Linked DNA regions of Coturnix japonica. The protein of the gene in region 3 interacts with the protein of the main gene of each other region in a pairwise test. Links are inferred from orthologs where the notes say so. Each region holds a gene or a part of one and is shown on either strand. Other genes may lie near its edges.

Region 1 (3,500 bases), on a different chromosome or scaffold from region 3:
TTGTTTCTGTAACTGTAAGGCAGTCCACAATTTCGGGCCCCAAAAGAGACCTTTGAAGTTAGCGGCTAAAACACATAAAGACAGGAGTTGTTTGTTTCTGTCCATAGATAATTTTGATTTTGTATTTATTCCTCTCGAATATTTTTAGAAAACATAAATAAAGCTCAGATTGTTTCTAACTTCTTGTTGAAAGGTTTAGCCTGTATTTTGTTGCTGTAACAGGTAAGTGACAAAAGAGATTGTGTGTTGTGCTGATGTTGAGCTCTGTCACAGGGGTAAGGTGTAGTTCACCTGAATGCCAGGCTGCTGGTCCTACAGTTGCTTTTCCTCTGTGCTTTAAACTGTAATAAATATTGTTTACTTATGTATTTGTTGAATATGGAAATCAACACAATCTGTAAAGAGTTTGTAAACTTACTGTCTGTGACTTCCTTGTCCTTTTAGCTTTTTTCACCTAAAACCCAGTTAACATCTTCCGAAAATACTTGCACGTTATTAAAATCTAGTGAAAATAAGTCACCAACAAGCTCTTTATCCAATCACTCTAGAATGATTTCTGACAAAAGCTTTTTTGTAAGTTGCTTTTAGTATGAAGTTCTTGATTTAATATCCTCCTTAGCAGCTAATGTGGGAAAAGAATATGGAAAGCCTGTCTTTATTTTCTTTTATTTTCTCCTTTGAAAATAAAAAGAAAAGCATCATGAACACATGCCAGATGTTGTATATTTTGGTATGATATTATTTCCTGAAACGTGGAAATTCTGCAGTATCTGTCAAAAGTCAGTATTTTGACCAAAGTGTATCTGTATTTATTTTTTTTTTCCCCAGAATCAGAGCAATGATTTAAGTGTCGCGTCAAGTTCTGGTGTACAGCAACATGCAAATCCCACAAAGCCAGAAAGCACAGAGACTTCAGAACAAAACACTTCATTACAAGTGCAAGATCAAGTAAGTTTAATTCAAAAGTATATAAGGTACTGCTTCTTTATTTAGTACCAAAAATGCCTGCAGCATCACTTGCTGAATGTTTTGTGCTTAACTTTAAAATAAACATATTTGGAAGTGTAGATTCAGTTTAAGAATGGGTTTTAGTATCTATTCTCATCTCCTGACTGTGCTTGTCTGAGATCAGCTGGTATGATTCATCACCTCCACCCCCACTTAGATAAACCAGTGGGTTTTAAGACTCTTAGGAGCCTACAATCCATTTTTCATCTTAATGCTTAAAAATATAAGATGGTGTCTGCGCTACTCTGAATATTCAAATGTATTTAAATAGGTTAACTTAGAATCTGGACTGTCATGGACTCTATGCTGTCAGTCAGTGATAGCATAGAGGTCTGTGTGAGATGACTGCAGAGTGAGGAAGCAGACAAAATTACCTCTGTCACAGTGACAGAGTGAATATGGCATCAGTCAGTTGTATGCTGTGCTGTAGACTTGAAAACAGAAGCTCAAGCCCTCCCTTTCCCACGTTTGAGACCTGTACTTAAGGTCTGTCCATGCTGCCTCCTAACCTGTAGCTATACTCCTGGTAACTGAAATCATTGGTGAATTGCTGGATTTTCTGTTGGTTTTTTTTTCTGTTTTAGATTTCAGCTTTGCCTTCCTTCTTTGGCAGTAAGGAATATCTCCCAAAAATTTTTTCATCAATGTCAGTAAATGATGTTGCTCAAGTTTATGGTAATTTAATTGCGTGTACAGTGCTTAGATCTGTTTCAGGTAAATGTTAGATGAATGTTCAGTCAGCATCTATCTACGTACTTTCAGATTCTAAAGCCTACTGCTACTACTGTAACTGAAGATTAAGCCACAGTTGTTTTTTGTTTTATTAAAAATAAAAAGCTAGTGAGAATAACCTGTGCTTCACTTAATTGTCTTTGAACCATGGGAAACTTTATATGAAGTAGTATAATCACTGGAGTGGTTGAAATATGGGCTGCAGAAGTTTGATTGACTTCTTTTTCTTGTAAGGGTATATAAACAAGGGACCTGTGGCTTCATACAAAACTTTCTAGAAATTTGTTTTAAAATAATAATTTGTGCTACATCTAAATTCTCTGTATCAACTTGTACCTGCTTACAGTGCCACCCAGTGGGGACAGAAAGATCAGGAGCAGTTCTCTGTATAAAATACCCCGCTGAGGTGACCTGGAAATGTCTGCCTCCAGGTCCTTCCTGTAGCTTTACTGTTATGTTTTGAATGCAGTAAACCTTCATTTCTGAAAAAGGAAATGCCTGAGCAGAATGTGTGCAACCTTACATTTAATACTTGTAGACAAAATATTTAATTTGTAGTAAAAATAAATAATTACTAGTTCAGGTTAGGATATGAGTAGCAAAAAATTTGTTTATGTTGATGAGTTAAAACAGGAGGTGAAGGGAAGCTTCATGGGATTGCTGGCTGTCACAGTGCCCTCCACCATCTCAACAGCACTTCTGATTTAGAACCAGCACAAGTGATAGACTGACCCCTGGCAGCCAGCTCTGATTGCTGCATGCTTGTGCTTGAGGCCTGGAAGCACATAATTAGCTGAACTTGCCAATCAGTAATAAGTAACAAAGGAAAAAATCAGAAAGGTAAGATTCTAGTAAATTGAAACGAAATAATTAACAAGTTTACAGAACAGGTAAAGCAAAGTACTTTAGTGCCTTTTCTGTTGAGTAATTTAAAACTGTAGCTGCACAGATACTGGGGGGAGAAAAGCTGGTTACTGTACATGATACTTTACTTTTGTGAAGCTGGATGGGTTCAAATACAGTATGGAGATGTTTGTTCTCAATTTCATTTTTAATAATATGAACTACTGGAAGAATGAAAAAATCACTGTTTCAATGGTAAGAGGACATTTTCACCTCATTAGAGCAAATGACCAGTGAAATTAAAAACTACTGTACGTTTAAGTACTGTGAGATTCTGAAACCCCTCCCAGGATGTCACATTTGTATGTTGGTTTCATGTGAAGGATGTCACAGATTGGGGAATGGAAAATCAATGTCTGTTCTGTGGTATTTAGAAGTTCAAGTTATGTATCCAATTCTAAAAGAATTCAGTTGTATCATAAAATGTTTTTGTACCAGTGGTCAGCAAAACTGAACTAGGACACTGAAATTAAATGTATTAGTGCCAACTCTGGCTGCTAATTCACATGTCTCAATGTATCTGAAATGATTTCTGGAGATACCCTCTGGGCAACACTCTGTTCCTATCAAGTAGAATGATTGTGTTACCTTCTTTGCAAGCGCCTGCAGAAGAAGGGTCTCCATAACACAGTGAGCTGATTACATGCTTAAAATACACCTCAGCCAGAGATGAGACAAGAAAAGGAATGTGTTGTGTACCTCATGTTGGAAATCAACCCAATGTTCGTGACTGTATTCATGTGAGCGGCTAATCTGACTAGGATCAGAGCATGGTAGATAGCAATGAGTTAATAAAGAGAAGCTAGTTAATTCATCATACTGAGGTTAAAAGCAGAATTTCAGGTGGAAGAGTTAGT
Region 2 (3,500 bases), on a different chromosome or scaffold from region 3:
GTAATAAAATGTTGATCTTTGCACCATCTGAAAAGTGAACTGAAAGCCAAAGTAGACAAAAGAATTCTAGCTCTCTTCGTCTTTTACTCTTTCCACTCTCTTGTACAAAAGTGCAGTTGTGTTGAGCTAAATTTAGCTGCAGTTAACTTTACATTTAAGAATTCATGAATAATATCAAAAGTCACTCTATTTTTTTTATATGTGTATCATACTGCGTATTGTTTTTACAGTACCTGAGCAAGGTTCATGAGAGTGTCTCTAAAGTGGCCTGAAGTCTCAGAATCGATATCTTGTTGAAGATCATTGTTGTATTCTAGATTGAAACAAAAATGTGTAACTTAAGTACAAAACGAATGTGCTCTGAATACTATTCATGAGAGTAAGCAAAAAAAGGGTAAACGCATGGGGTGCAAATAGAGACTTGTTTTCTAAAGGTATTAAAAATTATTCCACAGGAACTCATGCAGGTTCTGCAGACCTAAATACTGAGGGAATCCTCCTTGCCAAAGCCTCAGCCACTGCACCAGCTCACCCACCCTCCTGCCTGTGCCTGGCAGCCCTGGCACTGATGCAGCTGCGTGATTCTGGGATACTCAGAAGCACCCCTCAAAGAAGGTGAGTTGAATATTCAGCACGAATAAACACTTTTTGAGAAAAACAGTAGATGTACTTCAGAAAAATGTGTGCAGAAGTTTATGAAAATCCCCAAATGTGGCTGCCAGCTATTTAAAATGTAACAGGCAGCAGTAAATCTCCAGAATACATTCATTTTGCTTCAGCTTTTTAAGTATAATTGTAAAAAGGGAGGAAGAGGAAGGGAACCATGCTGAGAAGTCACTTTAGTAATTTAGTTCTTTCACTCATGCTAACACATCCAGCCTAATACACATATCAGAGCTGCTGTTGTACGCTTGTAAAATACATTACGTGTTAAGTAGGCTTCTTTCATCTGGAATATCTCCATATTTGTTCTTGAGGCTAATATGTCAATTAGACACTTTTCTTCTGTGTTTACTCCCTGTGTAGAAGGAAGTAAATATGAAATCATTAGGAACCACAGCATCCAGAAGAAAGAAATGCTTTATTAGGTGTAACAAAAGAATAACAGTTTCTTCTGGAGCAGTGTCTGGCATGCCTTTGCATAATATACATATTTAAACAAGAGTTGACTTCAAGTTAATTGTCAAAACCTGTACAGCAAATATACTCCTGCTTACTTTGAATTTCAGAATATGTGTTAATAAGTAGGGAAGGAAGCAAGACTGCTGTTGACAGAAACACAATGGGAAGAATTTTAGAGCTTGAATAAGAGTTTAAGAGTTACTGAGAGAAATCAGTTGCAAAGATTGTGTATATGTGTCAGCAAGTGTTCAAGCCAGTCTGAAGTAGATAAGAACTCCAGTGTCATGTAGTGTTTTTGTCTTTTTTTCTATTCTTTTTTATTTGTTTGGGAATGTTATTGTCTGTAATGTATGCCATAAAACTTGGTAGTTCAGGAAAGTGTCACTGCCACTTAGACACTGCTGCAAGCATTTTCTATCAGGATTCTAAGTAATTTTCTGAGCTTGAGTTGACATAAGATAGTGGGCAGCTTTCTGTATTCAGATGTATATTGTTGATAAGTATACTGTATATGGGATAATGGGAGAATATGGCTTTGAGCCTGAGCCTGGAGACTGAAACATGGTCTTTACTTCAGCTATGTGAATCCAGATTGAGAGAGAGTACTGCGAAATTCAACTTGAAACCACATTCAGATAAAACGTGACTTTGCCGATCTTGGCCATAATGTTGATAAAAGTCATGCTTCTAATGGTATGAATGATACTTAACAGTTCTTTTAATGCCAACAGTAATTTTAAAAAGTATATCAGTAGTTGTAAAAAGTATATTGGTTTCCTAGTCTGTAGGACACAGGAAAACAATTTTTTGCTGTTTTTTTGAAAGAGTTTTTTGCTCAGAGCCACACGATCTGTATCTTACTTGTGACAGTGGGCAGTTGTCAGTAGCTATAGAAAGTGAAGGAAAACTGTCAGTCTGGGGCATGCCTTCCCATCTTACAGGATTTGGCAATTTAGGAATGTCCTGAGAAAGAATTTGTAAAGAATGATTATTTTTAATAGCCAAGAGCAAACTTGTATTCTAAGAATTTTTCAAGTCTTTTTTGATCCAATTTGAACCAATTTGTGCTTTTGGTTTCAATATGGACACGCAGCACTAAATTTCACCTTTTAATTGCATGATGTTTGAAAAAAAAAAAACATTTCAAAAAAAATGTCTTGTTTTAATTTGGTTGTTTAAACAACACCAGCTCAGATCCTGGGAAAAAAAGGAAATTTTTTATTTTAAATAGGCAGTCAGTTCATTTTGAATCTATGTTAGTAACATACATAAAGGTTCACAAGACCAGAGCCTTACATTTGCTGCTATAAGTATTTTTTATTTTACCCAGTTTACCGCAATGTATTTGTTACATAGCTAGGTTGCTATTTTTTGGTTTTAGCATACTAGTTAAATAAACTTAGTGTAGCGCTCATATATACTCACATGTCAGTGTACTTTGAAACATCTTTTTAGCAGTTTCTCAAGCATTTAAATATATAAAATTCACTTTAACTTATATTTAGTAATATAAACAGTGACCATGTGTCTGAGTAGCTGTTAATTAGGCCAATACCTTTAGTGCATGCCAGAGCTCATGGGCATCATAGTATGCAGGTGGATACATTAGGCCAACCATGACTTCTTTGAAGTGATGAGAGAGATTCTCTTTTAGGTCTGTCATCAAATCCTTAACAAAAATACATAGGATTATTTCAACAGTCACACTTTATGAAAATCAGCATACAAATATTTGCAGTTTTCTCTGTGAAGGAGTGAAGATGAACTGTCTGAGATAAAGTCTACCCAATATTAGGCAACATTTATCTTTCAAAATAGAACCTACTCCTTTTAATTGTACTTGTGAGATAGCAGTGGACACGGAAGGAAGTAGACTATATAGGCTTGTTTTTTTTTTTGATTCATTAGAATATGGAAGAAAATTCAGGGGTTCAAATGCAACTGTTCCTCAAGGGCTTGGAAATCTGAATACCACAGCAAGAGCATTTGCAGCTTCCCATAGCAGATTCTGCATCTGAATCTGCAAGAGCTCAGCCCACAGAAATTAAAACCCATAACAGACAGGCAATTTCCTTATGTTTTTCTGGGTTATTTGCTATGCGATTAATTTAAAAGTCATTCTTAAAAACTCATCCCAGTACATAAGAATACCTGCTCTGGATTACTGGAAGGCTTTGTGCTTCTCATACAGTACTGGGCAGCTGTCTGAAATTGTAGGAGTAGCAGAAATGCTTCCCAATATATAAACTTTATTTATTTGAGAGGCTTTTTTTTTTTTCAGGCCTGTACTTTACGTTTGATGCATATCGTAACATAATTAAATTAGTTGCTAGACTGGGAATGAAGAAATACAAATACAGATTAAAATTTGGGTTTGT
Region 3 (3,500 bases):
CTCCTGGCACTCAGCTGACTTCAGCACTGCTGCTCTTTGTAGCTTAGCATATCCCCCTTTCAGCTGCTAAACAAAGAAATCCAGATTTCATCAAGTGACAGCCCATCATCGCTCCAAGCATTCTGAATACCCTTCTGTCCTTCTCACTACAAAAAGCACTCGACTGAAAGCCAGGAACAGCAGGCAACTTACAACTGTTTACAAAAGCTTTTGCTAGCTAGCTGGTAGCATTTCCTAAGCAAAAGTAAACTTCCTCAGCTAACACAAAGAAAACTGCCCTCTGTGGGGAAAAATACATCAAGATACACAGTGAAGGGATGCACAGTTTGCAGGGCTGTGAACGTGCCCTGCACAGCACAGTGAAAAGGGAGCTGTAGTTGGCAATACCTGTTGTGTAACATGACAACTTTTCTTCCAAACAGATCCAGAATTCCATACGGGAGACTAATCACCCAGCAGCAGCTAATGAGGCTAGCAAGACCCTGCAGCTACAGAGAGAGGGTCACCACTCTCCCTCTGCAAACTTGCCAAGAGCAAAACAAAACAGCAGCGCTTTCACAGGGCTGCTCCGTTGTGCACACTGCAGACAGGGTGCCAAGAGTTTCCATAGGAAACAATGGAGTTCAGCAAATGATTTCTTTTCCAACCTCTGAATTTCCACCCTGAGGTTTGCTGGTTACGGCACAACAGTTTTCCTCCCAGGAATTATGCTTCTAGAAAATCATATCAGCTGCACTTCTCCAACAGTTTGGTTAGCCTTTGTTTCGGTCTAGACATACGTAGAGGCTCTGTCTCTTCCAAAATAAGCCAGCTGGAAGATGAATTGACAGATAACACGTTTTAAAATCCTCACACAAAGGAAGAAGTGCTTATTCACACATAGTACAGCCCATTGGGAGCCTCAAGCCACAGGGTGCTGTAGCAATACTGAAAGCTTGCACAGAATTAACGTGTTATTGCTTAAACTAAGCAGAAAGGAAAAAAAAGGCATCAGAAGCTATTAATACAGATCTGAACCACTTCTGCTTCAGGAAGTCTTGAAGTTGTCAAACATAGCAGATCAACAGGAAGGCGGATGCCACAAAAGGAAAACTCAGATATCATATCACTGCCTAGCAGAACCAGTAAGAAAATGACGTTTTTCTACAGAAAAGCAGCAAATCACTGTGAATGAATCAACTTCCTTCCAACAAGTGTTTCACACCCCAGATGGAGTTTTTCTGGGTAGAGAAAGAATGATGGGCTAAGGACCTGAGCACACTCACGCTCAGTGGTCAGACTGCCAGGATCCAGCTATTTAGTGCCCCTCTACAAAAACATCTGGCATTTGATTTTATGCTGGTGTGAAACAGCTGCCCTGGGGTGCCAAAGCTCCTTCACTGCTATGGTTGGAAGACCCAGAGCTGTTTCTTTTTACACCAATGGCATTAAAAGTTCCTTATAACCACATAATGATGACGCACCGGAATAGGCTGCCCAAGGAGGCTGTGGATGCCCCATCCCTGCAGGCATTCAAGGCCAGGCTGGATGTGGCTCTGGGCAGCCTGGTCTGGTGGTTGCTGACCTTGCACATGGCATTGTGGTCCTTTTCAACTCAGGCCATTCTATGATTCTGCGATAGAATACTTGAAATCTCCTGCCTTCTATCAAAGAAAGCAGGAATTATGGCATGGCTCCCATCAAAGCATGGTTCCTCTTCAGTTTCCATTCCTTTTAATCCAATCTTCAGTTTCACTCCTTACTGCAGAAAACTTACCTTGTTGTCCTACCTGAATATTTCTGATCTCAGAAATATTGCAAATAAAGGCTACAGACACATAAGAGAGACACAGATCCAACCTTACATGAGTGAATGTACCACACTAAGCTGACAGACACCAGATGTACCCCAGCAAAGCTGCAGAGCTTGCACCCTTATCATGAAGGGAGCTGGCATACCCGTGCAGAATTCTTTGTTAGCATTCTGGGGTACCACAATCCGTCTGTAGACTATGGGCTCTGACTCCAAGATGTTCTCATCGTGCCGATAGCGAGCTGGCTTTTCATTCGGGGTCCCACGGGAACGGGTGCCGCTCCTCCTCTCGTAAGTCTCAATCTCCTCAAACACAGCTGCCTTGTCAAAAAGGGCCAGGTTCCCTTCAAAATCAAAATCAGTGTCTGGGATTTCATCAATGTCGTCCCCGAAGCACTCGTCATCTTTGCTCTTCATCTGCCCGTTTTTCAGCCCGCTCTTCTTTGGAGTCACCTGGTTTGGATGGCGGCTACTGGATGACCCTAAACAAAAATAAAAGCAAGTTTTATAAGGGAGGACAGCTCACATTTGGTGTCTACTGACCAAGGAGATGCTTGTTTCTCAAAGCACCCGCAGACCTCATCTTTGGTATTACTCACGCTGAGATAAGCTAACAAAAAACAGAAGAAAAGGCACCAGGGAATAGACTTTCAGGGACTTTCCTTTGGCAAGACTAGAAAAACAAGAAAAAGCTTGCCCACAGTAGGCAAACCAAGCGTTTCTACTCATTTAATTCAAGATAGGGTTATGTTAGTGATAAGATAACAAAAGAGCCCTGGTCTAGGACTACCTTATTCCTACTACATTGGGCTTTTACCAGAGTAAAACCAACTATCCCCAAGCACCCTTGTTAGCTCCGAGTCAGATAACAGAGGTCCCTGCAGCAACACAGCTAACTTCTCTAAAGGGTTTATCCTATTTATCCTAACCTCGCTGTATCTCTAACCATAGCACAAAGCCACTACAAAGCCACAGTTATTAGTACAGTGGTCAGCATGAAACTCCAGATACAGCATGGTGCAGTCAGCAGCACCAAACCTCATCAACACTCTACTTCTAGAGTCTCAATAATAATTGGATGTCATTACTAACTATAGTAGGTCGCTCATCTATAGACTCATTTTCAAGCTGCTGGAGACTACATAGTTTATTTCAGTAGTTTGTTCTCACTCAGTTATACACCTTTCATCAAGAAGCTACTTAAGCATAGAGAGCATTAGGGAAGAATTGCTGGTAACAACATAGAGGGAAAGGACAAGGCTCTCCAGCAAGAATTACAGTATGGGAGCTGCAACCAGTTATTCACATACAGTTTTAAGAGAAAGGTTTTACTAACACATGATTTTCACTCTCTCCCCCTCAGAGGGAGGATTCCCAAACCAAAGTTAACACGCAAATCACTCCAAAGCTGTACACAACTTGGCATGGAGCTGGCAGACATTGCATTCAACACTGCTGCTAACAGCAGCACAAGAAACACAAACCCAGGCCAACACAACGGGCCAAGTCTCCAAATGTTTCACTGACTGCAGGTCAAAGCAACAGACTCAAAGTTCACATAAACGAGAGCTTGCACTGAACACAATGAGAAAACAAGCTCATTTCTTGTGTGACTGTCAGATGTTAGGGCAGCTCGATCTGTTCCTGTTATCCAACAAGAGTCCTTACACTCACTGCCAGGTTTTTCTCCAAACTACTCTCTCCTCTA

The links. The genes of interacting proteins can lie anywhere in the genome.
Region 1: the proteins of EDC3 (region 3) and DCP1A interact in binary tests that used the Homo sapiens proteins (3 or more experiments, as listed by UniProt). The two-hybrid records come from large-scale screens. The link is inferred for Coturnix japonica from reciprocal best matches to the Homo sapiens genes EDC3 and DCP1A.
Region 2: the proteins of EDC3 (region 3) and ANXA10 interact in binary tests that used the Homo sapiens proteins (3 or more experiments, as listed by UniProt). The link is inferred for Coturnix japonica from reciprocal best matches to the Homo sapiens genes EDC3 and ANXA10.

Annotation. Positions count from the first base shown.
Region 1 is NC_029527.1:4,964,762-4,968,261, reverse strand, and holds part of DCP1A (mRNA-decapping enzyme 1A), read left to right. Parts: intron 1-828; coding exon 829-948; intron 949-3,500. UniProt on the Homo sapiens protein: Necessary for the degradation of mRNAs, both in normal mRNA turnover and in nonsense-mediated mRNA decay. Removes the 7-methyl guanine cap structure from mRNA molecules, yielding a 5'-phosphorylated mRNA fragment and 7m-GDP.
Region 2 is NC_029519.1:21,816,809-21,820,308, reverse strand, and holds part of ANXA10 (annexin A10), read right to left. Parts: intron 2,792-3,500; coding exon 2,678-2,791; intron 1,019-2,677; coding exon 928-1,018; intron 314-927; coding exon 234-313; intron 1-233.
Region 3 is NC_029525.1:1,779,618-1,783,117, reverse strand, and holds part of EDC3 (enhancer of mRNA-decapping protein 3), read right to left. Parts: intron 2,275-3,500; coding exon 1,939-2,274; intron 1-1,938. UniProt on the Homo sapiens protein: Binds single-stranded RNA. Involved in the process of mRNA degradation and in the positive regulation of mRNA decapping. May play a role in spermiogenesis and oogenesis.